4 linked regions of the Drosophila melanogaster genome follow. Changing the gene in region 4 together with the main gene of any one other region gives a genetic interaction. Each region holds a gene or a part of one and is shown on either strand. Other genes may lie near its edges. The genes, in order: Sin3A, Caf1-180, mor and asf1.

Region 1 (4,897 bases), on a different chromosome or scaffold from region 4:
AAGCCTTCATCATTATATTATTAAAACTTGAGTGTTAAACTGTATGTTTAAATATACTATGTTATCATTTCAATAAGTATTGAATTAGTAAACAACACTGAAGCCGTTGTGTTCAATCGTGTAAGCCTATTCCCAAATTTATAATCGTTATTTTAATTTAAAAACCTTTTAATTGCTCTTAATTTTGATCCAACACGCATTTTGGCTCACCGGTAAATTTGTGTATAATCTTTTACATAAAGAAGAGGGTTCTCTAATCCTTAAATGGATTTATAGTTTTGATGAGAATTAATACTAAAGTTAAATATTTTATAGTAAAGTTTTCCATTTACTGTGTTGTCAATTTTTTAGGACAAACAAACAATAAATAACAAAAAGTTTTTATCACATTAAATATCATGTGACTCAAGAGAGTTAAAAACATCTGATAATTTGCAGAACACGTACGAATATCAAACTAATTAGTTTTTTTTATAGAAATGGGTCCGTGTGACAGGAACCTCTTTACCACATTTCAGATATCACTTGATCAGCGTCAGTTAATATTTCCTAGTGCCGCATTCCATGACAGATCTGAAATTAGCACAGGAATAATTAGAACATGCTAGACCACCTGGCTTTATTATCAATAGAAAAAAGCATCAATAATACCCAATGGGAGGGCAAACAAACCTTCCTGCGGCGCCTGGAAGTCGGAGAGTTTGGTTTGTGCCATTTTTTTGTTTGGTCCAGGGACTTTGGTGCACCTCGGACATGCGCTGCACCCAGTAGCTAGTTAGTTGCATGTGAACTTTGAACTTTCGAGCTGGAAAGTGGAAGGCGGATTTGCATTTCCTATCGCTGCAGGTGTCTCACAAAGAGAGAGGCTCTCTCGTATCCTCCGCCCCCGCTGCATTTTTTTCATTGCGCAATGAGCGAGACGAATCGATAACTGCAAGGTTTCCATGTTTTAGCAGCTCAACTTTTGCGCGTATACAGATTTTTTGTCTGTATTATTTTATTTTGTGAAGGAGCTGGCCGCCGAATTCAGTTCGATTCGAGATGGGAACATGTGTTTTTATGGTTCCGCCATTGTCATGGTGAGATGCACTTGCTTTTTTTTGTCTTCATATTTTTACTTCCTCTCTCCGCACGCACGCGTCTGTGTGTGAGTGCGCTGGCGAGTGAGGTGGTGGAGGAGTACATGAGTGTGTAAAGTGTAGCCGTGGCAGAGTTGTAGCTCGCTAGTGGTCCGTTTGGTTTCTGATTTTCGGTTTCGTCGATTTCACATATGTACTGCAATGGTCGGCTAAAACGCTCTGCCGACGTCGCTATCTGCTGTATACTCGTTGCGCTTGTGTGGGTGCGCTGCTCTCACACCCGCTCTCTCTCTTTGGCTCAAACAGGGTGTCTTACCCAGATGTTCTGATCATCGTTTCCACCACATGGCTGGGTGACAATGGTACACCCTGTTTTCTAAACAACTTGTTTTCTCTCTTCCCAGCGTTGTTGTTGGTCCTCGCACTTACGTAAGCCTCACGTATTTCGTTTCTTATCCAAATTCTAAGCGCCATTTTGCGACTATTTGCATGCGGTACCGCTCACCGCTAATAAAAATAACCACTGATTGTGATTATTTGCTAATAGGTAATGAATGGTATATAAACTATTTTTGCCGTCAGCTACTGATGTGTTTTCAACGCGCTCGACGGAGGATTTTAGTTGTTGCGCCGTTGAGTTGCCACCCTGTTTTAGCTGCGGCAGCAGAATAAAATGAATTCCAAAGCAACACTGCGCGCGCGCTCTCACGCTCTCCGTTTTACACTCATTTCGCTCTCTCTGCTGACTCCAAATGACTGGCCGTCGCGTTTCGCTGTTTTAATCGAAAATGTTTGCGGCGGCGTTGAGATGTACGAAAACGTTCTCTCGCCAAAAATTTGTGAATAGAATAGCAGTAGCAATCTATCGAGAAGAAAATGTCTTAAATTCGAGCCGTGTGATCTAGTTAAGGTCTTAGAGCCAAGTGCAAATTGATTGAAATAAGCGTTAAACTTAAACTGAACTGGAGAACGAAGCCCCAGCTACTGAAAGAAAAGAAAACGGTGAAAATAAAGATTTCGGTGTGCCAGTGAGTGCGAATATAGTAGTTGCATGTGCAAAATACTGCGTAAAACGTGAAAGTTTCCAATAACACCACAAAACCAACGGCAGTTTTGTAGTAAATATACATACGCGCCCCGTACATATATACATACATTTCGAATATACATACACACAGCCGAATATCAACCGACGAAGCTAACTGCTTATTGCTGATGTAAGTGTAATATGGGCGGTGGGCGGTTGTGGGGGGCGTGAAAATTGCAGAGTAGCATTATCCTTCAAGTGCACTTGGAGTGCGGATTCGAGTTCAAACAATATTTTCGTTCGTGCCACTGAAAACTTGTGAAAATACAACATTTTTAGGTTAGGTCAATTTCAATTGGTTTATATACACACGCACGCACAAACTCACACACACACAAACAACAATGGCATAGCGAATACATATAGAAGGCGCACAGACAAAAAGTCGTCGACGGGGACGTGGTTGTTGTTTGTGTTGCTGCTGCTGCTGCCTCTACAGTTTCTGCTCTCCTCACACACAGTTGAACACAGTTGTGGAGAGGAGAGCCACACTCATACATACGCTTTGAACCATTGCTTTTGGTTCGCTTATGAACTGACTGTATTTTTTCAACGTAGTGTCGTTTTATTTTCGTTGTTGATTCGTTCTTTGCTCAGTTCGTGCGCTTATCTTGACTTTTGCTTTGATGCGCCATTCGCATGTACTGGCGAGAGCAGCCTAGTGTGAGTGTGCATTTAAATGGCTCCCCAATGAGAGCATCATTTTGTGGCCCTCTTTTTGTTCAGATCTTCCTTTTGCTCCTCTTCTTCATGCTCCCCAGCCCATCCGTCGTTTGTTGTTCTTGCTCCGCCTGTTTTTTTTCATTCGGTTTTGAATTTACACAAAACGTTTGCCGTTGCTTCTTCATGCTGAAATAGTATATATGTATGTGAATATATTGTACATATTTCTCTACACATCCATATGTTTTATTTGCAAAATTTATTAATAGCGCAGCGCCACTCCGCGGCTGTGTTAGTGCGCCAGAGTGAGAAAGTAACAGTAAAAAACTAAATATTAATTCGCGTTGATTCCGATTCGTATTGCAGTTGTTCAAAACCGAGTGCTAGTGATATTTGCAAAAAATTTAACATATTTTCCGCTGGCTGCCTTTTGTGTTGCGTATTCTGCTGTGCTGTGTATACACATAACAAAACAGATAAGATAACATTATACGTGTGCACGTAATAGAGCGGGCTGAATCAAAAAAAAAAAAAAAGAAAAAATGGAGGGAAAATTTGCCCACATGTCTCCCCAAAGCACACACACGCACACAACGCCCCAATTTGGAGCCTCTCTCGTCAAACACTCACACACACCAGCAAGCGAGTAAATGTGTTTGGTATGCACTAATGGCGGATCCAAAAATACAATAACAACAAAGACAGTTGGGAGAGCTCAAAAGAGCGAACTTGTTTTACCTTCATTTATTAAAGGATAGTTGGTGGTGGCAGAGACAGGAGAGAGAACGAGGGCTAAAGCTTTTGTGCGGCTGTACTGTGCTCCAATATTTGTTTACAAATGCTAAAAGGGGGCAGCTGTTGGTTCGATGGGGTGTTTCAATTAGTTGGAGCAGGATGATCCTCTAGGCGGTTTCCATTCACCTAATATTTGCTCGCGGTCTTTGGTTTGCGCAGCGTTGCGCTCTCTTCATTTTTGCCGCTCTCTCTCTCGAATGCCCGCCAAATGCTTGCTGTGTCCGTGTGTGAGTTTGGCCCCAAACGGGTGAAATACCTTTTTGAAAAAAAAAAAATCATCCATATACTGCGCCTCAACAACAAATGCGGCTCTCTCTGGTTCTCTCTGTGGCTGCACCACCACCACCGTATCGCCACCACCACCTTTGCATTGTTGCGTTTGCTGCTGCTGTTACCTCTGACTCTTCTTCTTCTTATTCTTGTAAGTTGTAGATACAGAACATGTACCAGCAGCTCTCACACACCACCCGCCCGCCCCCTTGGCGGTATCGATATATAAATATTTTCTATGTGTGCGTCTGAATTCTATGCAAGCCGATGTCGTGCATGGGGCATTTGGCACCTTCCACATTCACAAATACTGATATGTACACACATACACACACACTCGGAGGTGTACACAGAAAGCTCGCTTAGGAAGTTTTTACTGTACCGCTGAAAGCAATAACAAAGCGCGCGCCCAATTCCGGTTGAACGTACACACACTAAAGTGAATTACGCGCTCCTCCTTATGCCTTGCACTCACTCTCCTCCAAGACTCAACTTCCACTCCACGATCTCCTTCCCGTCTATATGTATCAATCTCTGGTTGCTGTTGTTGTTATTGGTCACAGCTCCACTGCTTCATTCCATTCCTATTGTCCCTCATCTCACTCTTCTCCCCCGAATCCAGAACACCCAATACAGAGACACCGTTCTCCACTCTGTAGTTTTTGTGATACGGCTAAAAGAAGAATTCCCCCGTGGCTTTTTAGTTCACCTTTTTTCTTGTTGAAATATGCAATCGTTCCGATATCTGTGAAGATATAGACCGAATTGATCAATCAGCTGTGCTATACTAGCTAACATGTTTTGGGAAAATTAGCAAGACTCGTGGTCTTTAATATATGGAAAAGTATATTTGGCATATTTGTCCTTTCATTTCAGTGTCAGTGAATAAATTCTAGTATTAATGTGTAAGATTGTTCCAGTAATGCAGAATTTAATGATGACTAACTTCATTAAAAATAGACCCAAACCTAATTCTTGGGGGTTTTTATACATTTAATGTCGA
Region 2 (6,578 bases), on a different chromosome or scaffold from region 4:
CACCATCCGGTTATTTCAAAAATAATCGCCTGTGTAAACGCACTTTTTTTTTAACTTGAGATTTCCTCACAATGCTCGGCTCTTTTAGTTAGCATAGCAAACTTTTGGGAACGTGGGAAGGAGGATAAACGGGGGGCGGCGGTTAACTAATATCGACGGCAGATAACAATTAAACAACGATTACAATAGCAATAATTAATGGATAATCGGATAATCGTATTTAAATGTAGATGGGACTCTAACTCTTGCAGATCTAATGGTACGACACACGTTCACGTCCACGTTTTTAAAGACAACACATCCCCAAACACACACTTCTAATTTTTTTTGTCGGGAATCTTAACTAAATGTATATTAAATAATTCATTTAATTGAAACGTAAATCGTAACAAAAATGGCAAAAAGAATAAACAAACAAGTTTTAAAAATAACTTCAAGCGCTGTTTCCACTGATTTCCACCAAGAAACCCCCAATAATTTGGGACTGAAATGAAAAATGTAGCTATAGATTTATGTATTGTGTCTATATATTTCCAATGCGAACCCAAAATCGCCATCAAATGAAAGATCATCATCAGGTAGGTAGTGTATTATTGCATATATACTATATATGTTTAGTTGGCTCAATGAAAATTGCAATCCTGCGAGCTTCTGTTGCTCAACTTCTTAAAAACTTTGCGATCGAGTGGGTGGGATGCTGGTTGGGGCAGGGGTGACCCTGGTGGGGATGGGTTGGCTGAGAAGGACATACAAGTCGAACGTACATCGGAACATTTAAAATTAAATCAACTTACGAGTGAAACTAGCGACAAAAAAAATGTGTATTCTTAAAATACTCGCTTAGCAGGAAGCGGAAGATCCTTAGGGGATCTAGCTTAATCCTAGTCTTAATCCGAGAGCATCACCACATCATCGAAGACAATGGGCGGTGGCTTCTCCTGCATCTTCTCCTTGGGTTTGCTGGCATCGCTCTGGCGTTGCAGAAACTGGCTAATCAGCTTGTTCTTGGTGGCCGAGGGAATCGGCTGATCCCTGGGCACGGACATGATCAGGGTGGCCCGCTTCTTGACGCCCTGACCCGCCTGCGTCTGTCCACTGATGGGCGTTGTGGGTGCCGAGTTTGTGGTCTGGTTGGAAGCGGGCGAGGCGGCTGGTACCGCATCCGCTGGTGGACTTTGCTCTTGCTGCGCTGCATCTGGTCCGTCGCTAACCTTGGGCGTCAACGTGTAGTTCCATTGATTCTGCAACTGGAGATCCGGCAGCTGGAACTTTTCCAGCATATCGCTGGCGACCACCCAGCAGAGGCGCTTCTTCGGTTTCCTGCCCTTTTTGGCGCTGTTGGCACTGGCGGCAGCGGCTTCGGGTGTGCTCAGCTCCACGGTCTTCCAGCTGGCAAGCTCGTCGAATTTCTCGCGCAGCACAGCCTTTGAGGGCAGCGTTGTTTGATTGGCCTCGGCGGTCGCTTGGGTTTTCAGGTACTCTAAATATTCGTTGATCAGGAACGTCTTCGAGTTCCGATTGCCGTGGGTAAGGCGCACCAGCTGCTGCATGAGACGATCGTCCAGCTGCAGCGGCACCGGCTGCTCTGGCGTCTGATCCTGACGCTCCGGTTCTGGCGGAGGCTCTAGGCTGAGTGGCTCCACCTGCCAACAGGCGTACATGTCGATGGTGTGGGCAAAGATAGCTGGGAATAGCTCGGACTTGTTGCCGTTCTCGTCCAGCCAAACGGGACCCAACAGGCGCGCCTTGATCTTTTTCGTCTGCTTCTTCATTTCCTGAGCGAACTCCTGCTGCAGCACCTGGAGTTTGGCCTTCTGCGCCTCCCGCGTGTGGCCGTCTTCCATTCCGTCGCCGTCGTTTTGCAGTTCCTCGTCGCTGAGATGTCCGTGCGGCACGTACCACTCGTTGTACTCCTCTTCCGATTCCTCCTCGGACTCCTTCTCTTTCTCGTCCTCGCTAGCGCTCAACGATTCCCCCGGCTCCTCCTCCTCCCACTCGCAATCGGAGTCCACTTCGTAGTCGAAGAGCACCTGCGTTATATGATTATTGATATTTGTGTTATGATATTTAAGCCAGAAGAAGTGATCCATACCTTATCCTGTGCCAGCGGGCGTCGGGCGGAGATGCTGCTGCTCTTTTTACGCCAGGTGCCGTAGTACGGTGGCCTCCGGTTGTCGGCGAAATGCAGATACTTGGCCTTCATTCGGGTCAGCTGCTTGGGCTGCTCCACCTCGATGGGCAGACCCGCCGGTGAAAGGTAATCTGTAGATGCAGATGATTGGTGAAGAACAAATGCTTCTTTAATATCTTGCAGCCATATCCTACCTATCACTTGAACATCGTCATCATCCTCCTCGTCCTTGGTGCGTCTTTGGAGCTTCACATCGCGCTGCATCTTGAGCGGCTTGCGCCGTCCGCTGCTCAACTCACTAAGATAGAGATTAGCCCGATTCGGCGGCTTTCGTCTGACGATGTCCTGCTCCTCCTCTTCCTCCTCGTCGTCAGCTTCCTCGTCCCGGTGTCGAAAAAGTCCATCTAGCTGGGAGCGCTGCTCCTGGCCGAGCGAGTTGCGCACGATCGGTGCTAGCAGCATGTCGTCCTTGATCTGAAATGGTCGAAAGGCCAGCGTTTGGCTGCTGGCCTTGGAGCTGTCGCAGCTGCTTTGCTCGTGCTCCAGGTAGGATGTGTTGTTGGATCCGCTGCCGCACTTGGGCTGCTTGGGCACGAAGAACTTGGAGAAGGACTCGGCGGCGCGCTTCTTCTTTTGCTCGGCCTCCTCACGCTCCTGCTCCTTCTTGCGACGCTCCTCGTCCTTTTTGCGTTGCACCTCCTCCTTGGCCTCGTTGCGCTTGCGCTTCTCCTCGTTCTTGGAGTCCACCTCCGCCTGTCGCTTGCGCTCCTTCTCCTCCTTTTCCATCTTCCTCTGCTGCTCCTTCTGATCCCTCTCCAGCTTCCGCTGCTGTTCCTTTTCGTCGCGCTCCTGTTTCTTTTGCTGCTCGCGGTGCTCCTTATCCTGTTGCTTGAGGCGACGCTCCTCCGCCAGCTTTTGTTCCTTCTCCTCGCGAGCCTTTTTCCTTTGCTCCATGAGTCGTTGCTGTTTGGGCGTAAGACCCTTCGGGGCGCCGGTTACTTCCGGCAGACTCTTCCTGTTCAGGCGAGTCTCCTTTTGGGCGGAGGGTCTGTCGGTGGCCGCGGTGTCCGTATCCGCATCCATCTCGTGCTCGCTGCTGGAACTGTTGGCCTCGCTGGTCGAGAGGATCATCGAGATTTCTGCTGCTTCCGGAGATTCGTTGTCCGACTTAACTTGAGTAGATGCCTCGTCTTTCTTGGAATCCTTTTTGGCCGTCACCGATTTGTGTGAGTTCGATGCATCTTCTGGTTCAGAAGTCTTTTTCTTGACTCCAATTTGTTGTTCTTTTTGATTATTTGCAGGTGAGTCTGCTTTCTCTTTCTTTGACTTTGTTGTGCTGTCTTCCTTCTCTTCTTTCTTACTCTTTTCAGCTGGTTTTGCTCCCTCCTTCTTGCCTTTTCCTCCGGTTTTGCTTGTTTCCTTCTTAGGGACTTCTTTTGGTTTGGAATCCTCTGCAATCAGTGGATCTTTCTTGTTGTCTTTAGCTGTGGTCTTGACCTCCGGTTTATCCTTCTTATTAGTTTCCATTTTCTTTCCCATAAAGAGATCTATTGTGGCCTGATCGTTCTTTTTATTTTGTTCTGCGGTCTTTGGCTCTTCCTTCTTCGACTCCTTGACCGCCTTCATGGACTCCTCCTGCTTCTTTGAGTCCTTTCCATTCTTCTGCATGACCTCCTCCGTGTGCTTGCCGCTTGTAGAGCTGTTTTCTGGGGATTTCTCACGCGGCGTTTGTACTTTTTGCCTCTTCTGGGGGTTCAGTTCTTCGGCGATAATCTCTATGTCATCGCTGGACTCGCTGTCCCCCTTGGCAACATCCGCGGTCGAAGTCTCCAGCGGTTCCTCAGATTTCTTCAGGGATTTTCTGCGCTTTGATCGTTTGTTGACCAATGGCAGCTTGATTTGTATGGGTGCCGGCGAGCCTTTCTTGCCCTCCGACTTCTTGGGCTTCAACTTGACCTCCTTGGAGGACTTGGCCTCTACCAACTGATCCTGGTCCTCTATCTCCTTGTCGGCCTCGTCCTCATCCAGTTCTATGACATCTTCCACTACCGAATCCGTGGTCTTGACCTTTTTAGTGGCTATGGAACTGGCCAGATCCAGATTCTCCTTGCTGGTCGAACGTCGCAGTTGCCCCGTAGAGCAGCCAGTGCCCTCCGATGGCGACTCATCGTCGTACGAAAGTTTTCGCTTGCGCGGAGCGGGATCGTCCTCATCCAGGATTACAGTGACGGGGCCAGAGCCGATAGTGGCGGGGGACGATGAGGAGGAGGAGGATGTGGGCACCGCCCCACCGCCTGGCGTTAATAACTTAAAGGGCAAACGCGTCTGCACGAACTTCTTGCCACCGCTGGCCGTCTTTTCCGCTGATTTGGCCGGCACAGCCGCATCTTTTTTCCTGCCGCTGAGCGGCGTCTTAACAACGCCAGCGTGCATTCTGCTGTACTCTCTGTCTGCCTGTTTCCTGTTTCCTGCGGCTCCTGTTTTCCCCCAGCAAATCTTCACTTGTTATTCGCTTAATAAAAAAGGCGGTGAAAACACACTAGCGATGGCAGTTGCGGTTGCGCTTTGCCGCCAATAGATCCGATCGCGCGCTCGATAGATCGATATAATGTGCATCAGTGTTGGCAAGCGATCGAGTGGTGGAAAACTATGATAAGAGTGATCCTGCATACGGCTAAAGTCTCCATAATCAAAGGATTAGTGGTAGTAGATTATTCCCGTGGATAATTTTACCCACTAATCCTTTGATTGTTTCAGTGGAGACTTTAGTCTTGGTAGAAGTCTTTAATATGGCAAAGTGAAGAGTCAAACTATGGCAAATTGGAGAATTAAACTATGGCAAATTGGAGAATTAAACTGTGATCGGAGGAGGTGGGGAACTTAGATAAGAAAGAGGAATATCCTTGTGTCCTTTTTATTGGCTTAGCTTAATTGTGGAGACTTTAAAACATAAATAGCGAAGTGGAGAAACTTAAAAATGTCTTTGTAAGATTTGTAAGATTTATTTCTTTTAATAGTTTATATTGTTTACAAGAATATCAAATTAGAGTCAATGCCGTTTTCTTAATGTTTTGTTATTAATTTCTTTTCCAGAACAGTGAGCAATAAAATTGAAATAGACATTGAAAACTACTCATGCAAGCGAAAGTACACAATGCTAATTGTTGTGCACCCTGGGCGAGCTTTTTGTGAATAATTAAATACAATTAAATACTGTCGTCTTCCCAAGTTTATTCCATTTCTGCAAGCTATCAGGTTGATTGGGTACGTAGTTATTGTTACCTTTTGATGCAGCTAACAAATATCGCCCCACTGTCGATAATTGTTTACTTAGTTTAATGTGGCATTTTTGCTAATCCCGGATAAGTGGAAAAATGCTTGCGGCCACAGTCATAGCCACTGTTGACCCCTTTCCACCTGGCGACCTGGTTGACATGGTGACCCAAACCGAGGGAGAATGAGAGATCCTGCCTCCGGCTGCAGCCTGCGTCGCAGCGGCCTGGAATACATTTCATTTAATTACAATTTGTTTCAATAGGCCAACACGTACACACAGCTCAAAGGGGGGGGGGGGGGGGAGAGAGGAGGAGGAGGTGATGGATTTGGGGGCGCCAACTACTCTGTGATTATACATACATATATACTGTGTGCATGCGCATAATTCTGATTGCAATTGCACTTCGATGCATTGGATTTATTATCCCATGAAGTACTCCTAGCTTGTAAACTCAAAAGAAAAGTAATGATTTGATTAATCTGGTGTGAGATAATAATCAGATAGAATTGATACATATTTAAGTGATTTGTGGGTACTAACTATTAGTATTATTTTTTTTTTAAACAAAACACTTGCAACGGCCCTAAAGTGCAAATCTTGATGACTAATACTGACATGTGCAATCCAATTCACATGAGATACAAATTGCGGTCGCCGCTTGTGGCTTCTTTGGAAAAATTAAATATATATGTATGTACATATATACAACAAAATCAGAGGGGTGGGGGAGGGTTCAGATGTAGTGGGTTGGACATGTGGCATATTATACGCATTGGCCGGGATTTGCCATCGCCACATATCGACTCCTTTAATAATGATAATAATAATAATGCCGCATCGATTCCGCTGGGACTTTTGGCCCACGACCGATGGCCCCGGAAGAGACGGGGCGTAAAATGGGAATTCGGTCATGCGTGTGAACGGGTGCGGTATACCGAGTACCCAGTACCCGGTACCCGGTAACCAGTATCCTGTAGCGTCCTTGCCTTCCCCTGGTAATAGAAAATCTATTAGCGGCCCCCTCCGCCGCCTCACCCACCATTCGGGCGGGTGGTGGTGGTGGTGAATGGCGTGGTGAAATGGCAGGGGATGTCGCGGGGCGTGGCCATCAGGCATCAGTCGTCCCATTTTCCCTTTTGATGACGCGAAAAGAGGCCAAACACTTTGAAC
Region 3 (7,228 bases), on a different chromosome or scaffold from region 4:
TCCAAAGTATGGGCAACTATGGCCGCCACCTGGAGTGTGCGCAAACACGCAAGTCACTGGAAGAATCACAGAGTAACGTTGGTATTCTGACGGAAACAACTTCCAACGAATTGAGCATGAGAGCCAACATCAGCATATCTTCACCGCCCCCTCCCAGGGTATGCCAAAGTGGCTCCTGCTCCAGTCATCCACCTTCATCTCCCGCCGCATCACCACTTTCCTTGCAAAGCTCGCCCAACGTAAAGCGTGCTGCTTCGAGTAACGACTTGATGAGAGAGATCAAGCGACCAAACATCCTGCGGCGTCGCCAGCTTTCAGTGATCTAATAACCAATCAAAAAAGGCTTAAATACTTGGCTGCATTTTACGCAGCTAGCTTAGTATATTTCTTAAACTCAAAAATGGTAATTAAATAATGTTTAAATTATAGATATTTTATTAACTTGTTCAAGTAAGTTAAAAGCTTTTGCTTTTGTAAAAATAAAGGAATAACTGCCACTCGTAGTTTAAATAAATTTTTATTGAATGCCTATTTTTCGGCTTTGAAACTTGGTTCAAAATATTTGTGCAATTGCTTGTAAACGCGACCGGACACGAAATGAAACTTACACAAAACTGGAGACGCGTCAATGTGTAGTGCATCTCCTTCAGATTACACACAAGAGTTGGGCTTAAAGTGGAGTATACATAATACATACTGAGAGCGTACGACTTAGAGCTATTTACTTTAACGTTTCCTGGCTTATGAGTAAGAGTTAAGAAGAGGGAGCTACGCCGGCGATGGGAGCAGTGTTCGCCGGAGGAATTCCCCCTGGTGGCATTGCCGATCCCGGCGGTGCGTTGGCATCTGACACTGGACCGCTGCTTGGTGGTGTAGTATCTATGGCGGGAGTTGGATGTCTAAGTATTATAGTTTATGAATTGTTATCCGTTAAAGTTCTTACCCATGGGTGTAGGTGCTTGAGATTGCGCTGCTCCCGCTGCGACTGGTCCGGTTTGGTCGCTCGGATTCGTGACAATGGCCGTGGGTGCGCCCGGCGGGAGTCCTCCCGTGAGCGAAATCGGTGGCGCTGCAAAGGGAGCACCGTTGGGCGACGACACTACGTGCGGGGGCAACGGCTGGTGCTGGGCGGTGGGACCCGCTAGCGGTTGGGACTGCGGCGGCAACTGGTGCGGATGCGGAGGCAGCTGTTGCTGCTGCGCCAGGTGCGGATGAGGTGGCAGCGTTTGCTGTTGCTGCTGCGGCTGCTGGGCCTGTGGTAGCTGCTGTTGCTGCGGCAAGATCATTGATCCCGCGGCCGCCTGGCCTTGGAGCTCTTGCTGAAGACGATGATGTGCTTGTTGGCGCGCTCGGAACTCGGCTGCCTTTAGCTGCTCCAGGTGGAATTGCTGACGCTCTGTGATCAGCTGCTGACGCTGGTACTCCAATCCCTCGCGCTCTCGCTCCATGGTGGCCTCCAGTTCCTCAAAGTGGCGCAATTTGATCTCCAGCTTCTTCATCTGAGTCTCAACAAGGAGAGCCACCAGGGATTTGATCTTACGCTCCTCCAGGGCAGCCAGGTGTTTGGCTTTAACTGCTGCCGATGCCAAAGCTGCCGCCGCCGCAGTCTGCATGTTATTTTCGCTAAATGTTCCTTCCTTTGGCACCGCCAATGGCCCTGTTCCGGTTCCCGTTCCCTCTTTGGCCTCAGTGCCGTCCTTAGTTTCGCCATCGCCACTGCTGTCCTCCGTCTTGATGTCCACTTCGCCACCACTTGCGGCTGCTGCGGTTTCTGTGGGTGAGGATTTGTTTGATTTGTCTGACTTGATGGCTGACTTATCGCCCGAAGGCGAGGAGCCGGACGACTCCTTTGGTTTCTTGTCAGTGTTGTTGGTGTTGCCTGTCGCTGATGATGATGTGGAACTCGAGTCTGTGTTTGTGTTGGTCTTATCCGATTTTGTATTGTCTTTGGACTTGGCATCGTCTGTGGTTGTTGTTTGTTATTTGATGGTTGTGGTGTTGATGTAAGTTTGGTAGATTGGGCGCAACACAAAAACGAAACAATATACGAATACAGTGCCAAATGGTGAACAAATTGCGAATTTTGAATGAAAGCAACACAAGAGTTCAACAAGACAAACAAATGCAGAACCAACAATTGAGTAAATTCCCTTTAAAATCGATTAAAAGAAAACTCGCTCGACTTAGCGACTTTTCCCTTAACCAACATCCATAAACCCCCTTTACCGATCTCTAATGGCTTTGGCTTACCGTCTTTTTTGCTTAGGTCCTTCATTTCCTCATCAGAGCCGCCAGCGGATGCAGATGCGCCACCCTCCTTGCCCTCTTCATCGTCCTTGTCGTTTCCGGTTCCTGCGATTCCACTATTGGCCAGCCCAAAGTTCGGATTAAATTTACCACCTGCCGAAGCCTTCTCCACGTTTTTCAGGTGGTTGTCCATTATTGTAGCGGGCACCTCATCCTAGCATAAGTTTTACATTGGATGTTAAAATCATGGTTTAAACGTGACTAAAATGTAACTACCTTAATGGCTGCAAATTCCTCCATGGCAGCCTTTGCTGCTGCAGCGGCAACGCGAGGATCGACCACAGATGCCAGGAATGCGACGGTGGACATAATGGGATTGCCACTCTTGCTGAACGGAATGGGTTGGCAGGCCAAGGGGCCCAGGAAGCCACCATCATCCTCTAGATACGGGTCCTCGATGGGAAGTCGAAGGAAATGCAGAATGCACTCGTCTTGAGTGCGAGATCCAACGTGCTCGCAGACCTTGTTCCAGTCGTCCTTGTGCATTTCCAAGCCCTCAAGCAACAGCAGAGTCTCCTGATCGGTCCATTCACGAGCCATGCTTGCCGCCGTTCGATTCCTCATGGCCGCCGGCTTCTTTGCGTACTGATCCAGCTTGAGTCCAAACTGGCTCACTCCGGAACTTAATCCTCCGGCAGCGCCATTCTCTAGAGCCTCTGTCTTGATGCCAGTCAGACCACTTTTATCGCCCAACTCCAGGCCGCCATCTTTACCCAATGGCTTTTTGTCCAGATCCAACAGCGTCTTTGCCGCCGACGGCTGTTGCGTCTTTTGCGGATTTATGGACTGTAGACCTGATGGCGTATCCGAAAGAATGTGAAAGTGTGAGGTTGGTGGTGGACCCATAGGGGTGGGGCGGACATCCGCATCGATCTGGTAGTTAATCAGGCCCCATTGCTCCAAGAAGGCGTGTACTCGCATTATGGCGCACACATCTCCGGCAAGATTACGCCTACAAGCTGTGCTGGTCAAATACTCCGTCGGATTGAGCCTGAAATAGATGAGTAACATATTCAAAACTATTTGCTGCAAAAAAAATGGAGCTTCAACTTACCTGTACGTATCAATCATAAAATTCCTGTAGGCCATATAGATTTCTGGTGTCTTTGACTTATTCTTGCTGTTAAAGAATTCCGGCATGGCCCGTTTCTCGATCACATGAATGGAGTTGTAATCAAACCAAGCCGAGTACGAAGGCACGATAATGTGGTGCGTCTGCTCGGTCACATTGTCCTCCATATCCTCTTTGGCCGATGAAGAGAATTCCTGCGTGTTGCTGTTATCACTTGTCTTGCCTGTCTGCGAGTTTTCCCCATCTCCGGTAGACATGGCTTGAGCGGCGCTTCCTCCAGTCATTTCGTCATCCAGATCGGTCATAGTGCCACCTAGATATCAGTTTGTTTAGTCAATGCAGATATAAGATAACAAAACTTACCTTTAATGGGCATCATGTCGTTGTCGCCACGAGATTTACCGCCCGGAGCTGGACTGGCGGTGGACTGCAAGGCGGCATTTGCCTTATGAACCTCCTGAACATTGGGCTCGGCCGGCGGATCATCCAGATCGCGAGTTAAGTCCTCGTCATCATCGTCGTTGCGCGACTTTTTGTGCACCACGGCGGGAGAACGCTTACGCTTGCCCGGCTTTGAGGTGGATGCCGAACTGGCGGGAGATGGTGAACGGCGTCTCTTCTGCTTGCCTCCGCCCGAGCTGGCAGCAGGCTTCTTCTTCTCGTCGCCGAATGACATGATGTCGTCTATGGACATACGCTGTTTGTGCGTCTTCTTCTTGCCCTGTTCGTCAACCTCGTAGTCCTCCTCGGCCATCCACTCATTGTACTGCTCCAGGTCCACGATCCAGGATGCAGACACACGCCAACGTTCCGCCGGTGACTCGGGATTCTCCGGAATGTGATCGGGCAGGTCAAAGTTATTCACAGCCCAAGAATCGTAGGACTCGGGGAAGTAGTACCAATGCAGCATCACATGTCCGCCGCGCTTGAAAATGGGCCGCGCATACTCGTCGGGATGTGGGTCCACCACAGGATAGACGATATGGGTGGCGTCCTCCTCGTCCGACACAATCTCTACCCGTCGATTGTCCAGGATCTCGCGCAGTTTTCCCTCGAAGCCCTTTTCAATCTCCGGCCGAATATAGATGTACGGTATGCGATACAAGTCCGCCTCGACCAACGCCTGCTCAATCTCGATCAGCAGCTGGATGTTGGGATCCTTGCGCGTGGGATTCTTGCCAATGGAGAAGTCGAACTTCTTGCCGCGTTGCTCGGCCCGGAAACGGAACATGGTCGAGAAAATGATGCACAGACCACCGCCGCTCTTGAAGTCCAGAAAGCAACGCATCTGGTGTGGGTGGTACGATTATTAGAGATATGTTTTAATGTACGTAAATCATGTAGCTAAATACAAAATATAAGCTAGTGGTCCAAACATTTGGCCATTGGAGGATTAATATTTACGTGTACACACGCAACACGGGGCACCCTGTCCCCCTCACCAACCACAGGCACTATCAATACTAACCGGAATTCTGGTTGCCGGCGGATCCGCTGAGTTCTTGCCCAGCTTGGCTTCCACATACTGCAGGAAGTGAATGAGCAATTGGGCCAAGGACTCCTTCGTGATGGGCTCCGAACTGTGGGCCAAATACTGCAATAAATACGGTTGTGAGTAAATCGTTTTTTTTTCGCCGCCTGACAGCGCCATTTTTGTTTGCGGCGGCGTTGTTGTTGGCACGCACCTTCTTGCAGTTCTTCTGCAGCCACTGGCGAATCGATTCAAAGCCCTGCAGCGTCTCCGGCGACTGGAAAAAGTCTATATTCGGACTTCCGTCCTTCTTAGGACCCAGTGTGTTCATGTTGCGGCACTTTTGTGGACTTTTTGTCAATTATCTTTTCACTTTTCCACGCCAAAAAGCCAATAAACGCTGCGTTGATAAAATAGAGATGGTATTTAAATCGATGTTGTTGTGACAGTCGTTATCGATATTTCAGCTATCTCCACTGAAAGTTATCATTATTTTAATCTTAGGTTAGGTTAATATATAAACCTATTGGTTGGTGGAAGCCATATATTAAATAACAAGAAAACATATTGGCTGTTAAGAGAATTATATAGACTTCGAAAAAGTTATAGCTAGCTAACGTGTCAGTTAGCTTTACATCTCAGTGGGAACAAGCTATTATGTGAAAATTGCTGTTAAATTCAATAATGCCATCTGGTCACAGTGGCGGTGGTGCTGTATTGGCGTCCCGCTCGCGCCGCCTAAAAACCGATGCACCACGATAGTCAGGCCGCACATATAAATGCGACTCCATCGCGCTAACATGGCTGCTGGGAACCGAAAACTTAAAAATATTGTGCTGTCAGAGTGTGTTTGCATCAGCGTGAAGCCCAGTGTTAAGTTAAAACATTGACTGCCTACGCCCACCAACGACAATTGCCGTAAATCGAATTCTGCCGTTATTCGCAACGCCGGATTCCCATCCGTGTGTCCGTCGCGAGTGTGCCAGTGTGCGTGAAAATAAAAAGTCAATGGTGCGTGAGTGCGAGTGAGTAGGAAGAAAGCAAAAGCGATTGGATTGATTTGTGACGCTGCTGGCGAAAAGCAGTACCCAGTACCCCTTTCCTTGGGCCAAAACACACACATACGTACGGCTATAGTAACTCAGCATCGATTGTACAGTTTGAGAGCAAACAATTCAATTAGAAAATGCAGAGCGCATGAGTTGAATTGTGAGTGGGCGCCCCACATAAGCTGACTGCTACCGCACAACGAAGGGAACTAGAAAGAGGAGTGCGTAGTGCGGAGAGAAGAGCAAATGCGAAGCGAAGAGGAAGAGAGCGAGAGAGAGCAACCATTGCCAAAGGTAAGTGATATAACACTCGGAGATCGGGAGTGGGAATGCGAATAGGAACATAAGGAACCCCTAAATTCTTATCCTAGATTGCAACATTATTTATATGGCAGCAACTTATCGCTTCCGCTTGCTTGTGTGCGTGCGATAGAGATAGATAGAGTGGGGCCAAGGGGCTCTGTTTATTGATAAGAGAGGAGAGCGAGCGAGAGAGAGGGAGAGAGAGAGGAGGTGGGCGCCAACGCAGCAAAACAGCGGAAATCCTTTACAAAAACTTGGTCTACCACTAGCTCTTTGTCTTCGCCTTCTAGTCTCTCTCATCTTGGCAGCCCGTTCTAGTGCGCGTATTTTTAGTCGCAACACATTGCCCAATTCGCCAGCCGCTATTTGTGTCGTCCATTTGTTCATTCATCGGGCTCTTTTTCCGATTTCAGTGGGTGGCATTTAACAATAATCCCTGCGTTCGCTGTCCACGTCCACATTACGATACGTTTAGTGCACGGAAAGAAATAAGCATGTGGTTTCATAATATTAGCTATTGAAAAAAGTTCTTAAATTTAAGCCTCACTCGATTCTGATGCATGAAATATTATTGGATTGTAAATGAGCGTCATGTTTTGGTATACAAATCTCAAAGTAATTTAAAAATTCTCATCTTACCGTACCTTGAACCACTACCAATCATCTCAGTACAGCATTTCAGCGAATTTCTCACTGTGCACTACAATGCCAGGCGGTACAAGCACCTGTATTTATTTATGGTCCGCTGCCGTAATCGACTGCAGTCGCCGCTTCCCTCTCTCTTTTGCTACCAACAACTTGGGGTAGGGCACCTGAACTAGTTTCAAACGGCGGCGGTCGGCCTTTTCAGCTTTTTCGCATTTGCCATTTTCCCGCGGTTCGCAACATCAGCGACATTTGTCACAGTTTCTTAAAGAACATTTGAATATCCAAAGTTTACTTGCCGAACTTGACTGCGGCATTGCGATGATGATGCTGCCCGTTGTTTGTCATTCAGCTCCATTAATTCGATACCAATCAGTATTT
Region 4 (3,890 bases):
AGTGTCGTAGGTTGTCAATGTCTCGACTGGTAAGACATCCGCCGTGAGGTGCATCCGCCTCTAATTCATTTCCCCAAACATTGGGATTGATTGTTTGAGAGGCAATACTCTCGCTGCTGATGCTAAATTTCGAATTAATCGCCTCTGTGGCGCTTTCCTGCATGGGACTCAGCGGATGAAGCATGGCCAGATCGCTATCTTGAGCACTGACTCCTTCCAGGAGCTGTGACATTTGCATAGCAGGCATACTTATTACAGAAACCGCTTCCTGTGGCGATTTCGGTGCACTAAGATCAGTGGAGGGTAGATTTGGATCACTTTTAGGCTGTCTTTTAATAAACGTTGCCCAGTGATCTGGAACCTCAGCTGCACCCTGAGAATCCATCGAGTTGATCGACACCAAAAAACACTTGCTGTCTCCGAACGTGGATTTGAGCAGCTCGAATCCCTGCTGTGCTTTGGACAAGTCTCCCTGGCTAGCCTCGTGCAGCACTACGTAACTATTGAGGACCTCGGTGGGATGGAACCACTTGGGCAGTTTTTGGGGCGTGATGCTCTGCATCTGCTGCACACGTTGTCCCAGTTTGTGGGCGGTCTCCACGATCTGGGGATCTGCGCTGGATAGCACTAGCAAACAACTTAATAGATGGCGGGTGAACTCATGATCCGCCGGAAATTGCACAGTTAAAAAGGTCTCACGCCACTGCTCGAACCATGGTTCCGATGTGGGTAACTCAAGGTCTATGCCAGCTATGGGAGAATGGTAAATGAGTTACCAAAAGACATTTTTGCATCGCTTAAACCCTTACCTATGGTGGCCAGTCTGGTTTTGTCATTATGGGCGTTGGTCACAGACTCGTTGAGCATCTTCCTGGCCAAAATTGTTTGCGGCGGCCGCCAGTCCACATCACAGAAATTGAGACGGAGTCCACGCACCGATACACTCGTTCCGGACACGTCGCGAAAGTGTGCTAAAGAAAGGAGTACAAATGCATTTAATTTTTGGCCATTTAGAATTTGTTGGCAATTTAAGTTTATTATCAACAATGTTAGAATCAACGTTTACCAACTTCTGAGCTTTAAACATGTCATCCACACCATAACAACCCTTAAACAACTACTTTGTATGCAAAATGTTAAATAACCATGTCGAATCGGTTGAAAGTTCCATAGAAAAGACCTATTTTCTTAGCCGCGTCTATGCCTTGTTTACCTCACCCGCACGCCCCCTTACACACAAACCATTCACTATCCCATTCACTCACCATCATTTGGCAACTTTGCGAACGGCTGCAGGAGTTCCACGAAGGAGAGGTTGTTCCGGTGGCAAATCTCGTCCGCCTGTGGACTGGACAGCACGCCGATCAGCGGCGAGAAGATGTTCCGGATGATGTCGCGAGCATTGTAACTCTGGCCCGTCAGGTGCAGCATTACTCCAACTATTTACAAAGAAAATACAGAACACCACACAACAATTGCAGGGAGCAGCTGGAGATGGCACTTGATGCAAGTTTGTATCGAAACTATCGTTACTGGCAGAAAGTCGACAGCTGTTTTTTGCGCAGATATCGATCGCTCTTCCAATCAGAAAATATATGTTCCAATTTTTATTTGACTTGGTTTTTCTGAAGATCATTATTTTGTCATATGTGTATTTTTTGTAAACCATTCCGTAATGCCGCTGAAACTACAGCATCTAGGTTTTTTTTTATCGTTAATTCGTGTAAAGGCCAGTTGTAACGAAACGAAATTATTATTAGTATTTTTTAGATCTTGTAAACTCGTTCACCAATCGAACTATTGTCGCGTTTTGACATTCCGCCACTTGTCGTGGTGAGTTTTTCGCCACCACTTGCGACACCGAACGGTCCCTCTGAAGCGCGGGAAAGAAGTCAGCTGTCACCATTTGTGCGAAGACAAGCGGAATAATTGCGATAAATAAAAGCAGAATAGCGACAGACAATTGCACAAACCTGATTCATGTTGTAACCAAAACAAACTACTAGCATTACAGTACATATATCAAGTATTTGCTGAGCGTTTTGCAGGTGAATTTCGCAAAGCAATTCCCTAGTCGGACAAAAGCAGAACCTCTAAAAAAAGCGCGCAGTCGAAGGAGTCTTTAAAATATCGGTCTACGCTCTGCAATCTCCGAGGTACAGTCATGGCCAAGGTGCACATCACCAACGTGGTGGTGCTGGACAACCCGAGCAGCTTCTTCAACCCCTTTCAGTTCGAACTCACGTTCGAGTGCATTGAGGAGCTAAAAGAGGATCTAGAGTGGAAGATGATCTATGTAGGCTCGGCGGAGTCCGAGGAGCACGACCAGGTGCTGGACACCATATACGTGGGACCTGTGCCTGAGGGGCGACACATCTTTGTCTTCCAGGCGGATCCGCCAGACGTCAGCAAGATCCCGGAACCGGATGCGGTGGGCGTTACCATTGTTCTGCTTACCTGCTCCTACCGCGGCCAGGAGTTCGTCCGCGTGGGCTACTATGTGAATAACGACTACGCTGACCCGGAGATGCGCGAGAACCCGCCAACAAAGCCTCTTTTCGAGAAGCTGACGCGAAACATCCTGGCCAGCAAGCCGCGCGTCACCCGATTCAAAATCAATTGGGACTACGGGCACATCAACGGGAATGGAAATGGCGTGGAGAACGGCCATCAAGATGAGATGGCCACCGATGGACCGTCCACATCGGAGGCGGCTTCAGCAGTTATCCATCCCGAAGATGATAATAGTTTGGCCATGCCAATGGAGAACGGAATCAAGGCCTTGAACGAGAACTCCAACTCACTGGCCATGGAATGTTGAGAGCTGCCGGCAGTCCGAACAATGACCACACTAACACACTGTCTCTCACTTAAACCAACATGGGCAACAATGGATAACTTAGCACTCCTGGTCCTCGTCCCTCTTTTTACTTCTAAGTAACTAAGATTAAAGCAAAAATATATGTATACATTAAATTATTTCACAAAACATGCATTTTCTTAGCTATATTTGACTTTTCTGTGCGCACTTATTTGTGTTTGAAGAATGACTAATACGTTCATGGCAAAGTTCAGTTGGCCGTGTTCAATAGAAATGATACCCTTTTTTTTATTAAGAAACTCTATTATCAATTATTGCACTTGTACAGCATTAATGCCTAAATAGAAATAATAAGCATATTCTTGAAAGAAACTCCGTTTTCAATAATTGAATTTTGTACAGAACTGATTTTTTGTCTAAATGATTTATATGATTTTTTTGTTGTTTAAAAACAAGTTAAGTAAAAAATGGGAAAAATTCACATCAGATTGGAAGAGAAATTTAATATTATCAGGACGGCATTTTATTATATTTAATTATATCTAAAAATATTCATAAACCTGAAACTTTGTTTTATTATAATTTTTTATATTATTTTTTTTTAATATAATCTTTGACTACACATTTTCTTGAAATTCCGTTAAATCAAATAATACTGGATCAATTCTTCCTTTGTGCAATATTCAGCAACAATTACATTAGAACAAAAACAGAAAAAAACTCAAATCTCAAATCTTTGCTGTACAAAATTTAAGTAACAGACATCTTAGGATGCCTATCAGCCAACACGATCTTGCCCGTTTTGCCAGCGCCCCGGGCAGTTGCCCTCGGATCAGCATGAGCAACTCGAGCAATACGTGGAGAGTACTCCAGAATTTGTGAAATGCTTAAACTGATCCATCCTCCTGATCGTCCTTAGGTATCTCAGCTATTCGGATCTAGATCTGGGCAGCAAGTTTTGCGGCGGAGGATCCCTGAGGACGGAACCTAGCTGCGATCACTGGAAGTTCTGCGAAAAGGTGCCCAATCGCTCAGACGTGGAGGCCGACTCATTGGGCTGTCCTGTGGG

The links.
Region 1: of asf1 (region 4) and Sin3A, changing one suppresses a phenotype caused by changing the other (phenotypic suppression), as found in Drosophila melanogaster (one study listed by BioGRID).
Region 2: of asf1 (region 4) and Caf1-180, changing one suppresses a phenotype caused by changing the other (phenotypic suppression), as found in Drosophila melanogaster (one study listed by BioGRID).
Region 3: of asf1 (region 4) and mor, changing one suppresses a phenotype caused by changing the other (phenotypic suppression), as found in Drosophila melanogaster (one study listed by BioGRID).

The regions. Positions count from the first base shown.
Region 1 is NT_033778.4:12,586,115-12,591,011, reverse strand, and holds the start of Sin3A (Sin3A), read left to right. Parts: upstream 1-1,859; 5' UTR 1,860-2,296; intron 2,297-4,897.
Region 2 is NC_004354.4:8,601,625-8,608,202, forward strand, and holds Caf1-180 (chromatin assembly factor 1, p180 subunit), read right to left. Parts: upstream 4,681-6,578; 5' UTR 4,565-4,680; coding exon 2,326-4,564; intron 2,263-2,325; coding exon 2,093-2,262; intron 2,031-2,092; coding exon 888-2,030; 3' UTR 513-887; downstream 1-512.
Region 3 is NT_033777.3:15,967,632-15,974,859, forward strand, and holds mor (moira), read right to left. Parts: upstream 5,283-7,228; 5' UTR 5,182-5,282; coding exon 5,065-5,181; intron 4,974-5,064; coding exon 4,848-4,973; intron 4,668-4,847; coding exon 3,743-4,667; intron 3,693-3,742; coding exon 3,362-3,692; intron 3,299-3,361; coding exon 2,524-3,298; intron 2,462-2,523; coding exon 2,251-2,461; intron 1,964-2,250; coding exon 944-1,963; intron 880-943; coding exon 755-879; 3' UTR 503-754; downstream 1-502. Other genes in the region: Rbf2 (Retinoblastoma-family protein 2), read left to right, coding at 1-326.
Region 4 is NT_037436.4:19,617,015-19,620,904, forward strand, and holds asf1 (anti-silencing factor 1), read left to right. Parts: upstream 1-1,879; 5' UTR 1,880-2,164; coding exon 2,165-2,821; 3' UTR 2,822-3,384; downstream 3,385-3,890. Other genes in the region: l(3)76BDm (lethal (3) 76BDm), read right to left, coding at 1-750, 810-971, 1,266-1,431; ms(3)76Cc (male sterile (3) 76Cc), read left to right, coding at 3,593-3,678, 3,741-3,890. UniProt on the Drosophila melanogaster protein: Histone chaperone that facilitates histone deposition and histone exchange and removal during nucleosome assembly and disassembly. Cooperates with chromatin assembly factor 1 (CAF-1) to promote replication-dependent chromatin assembly.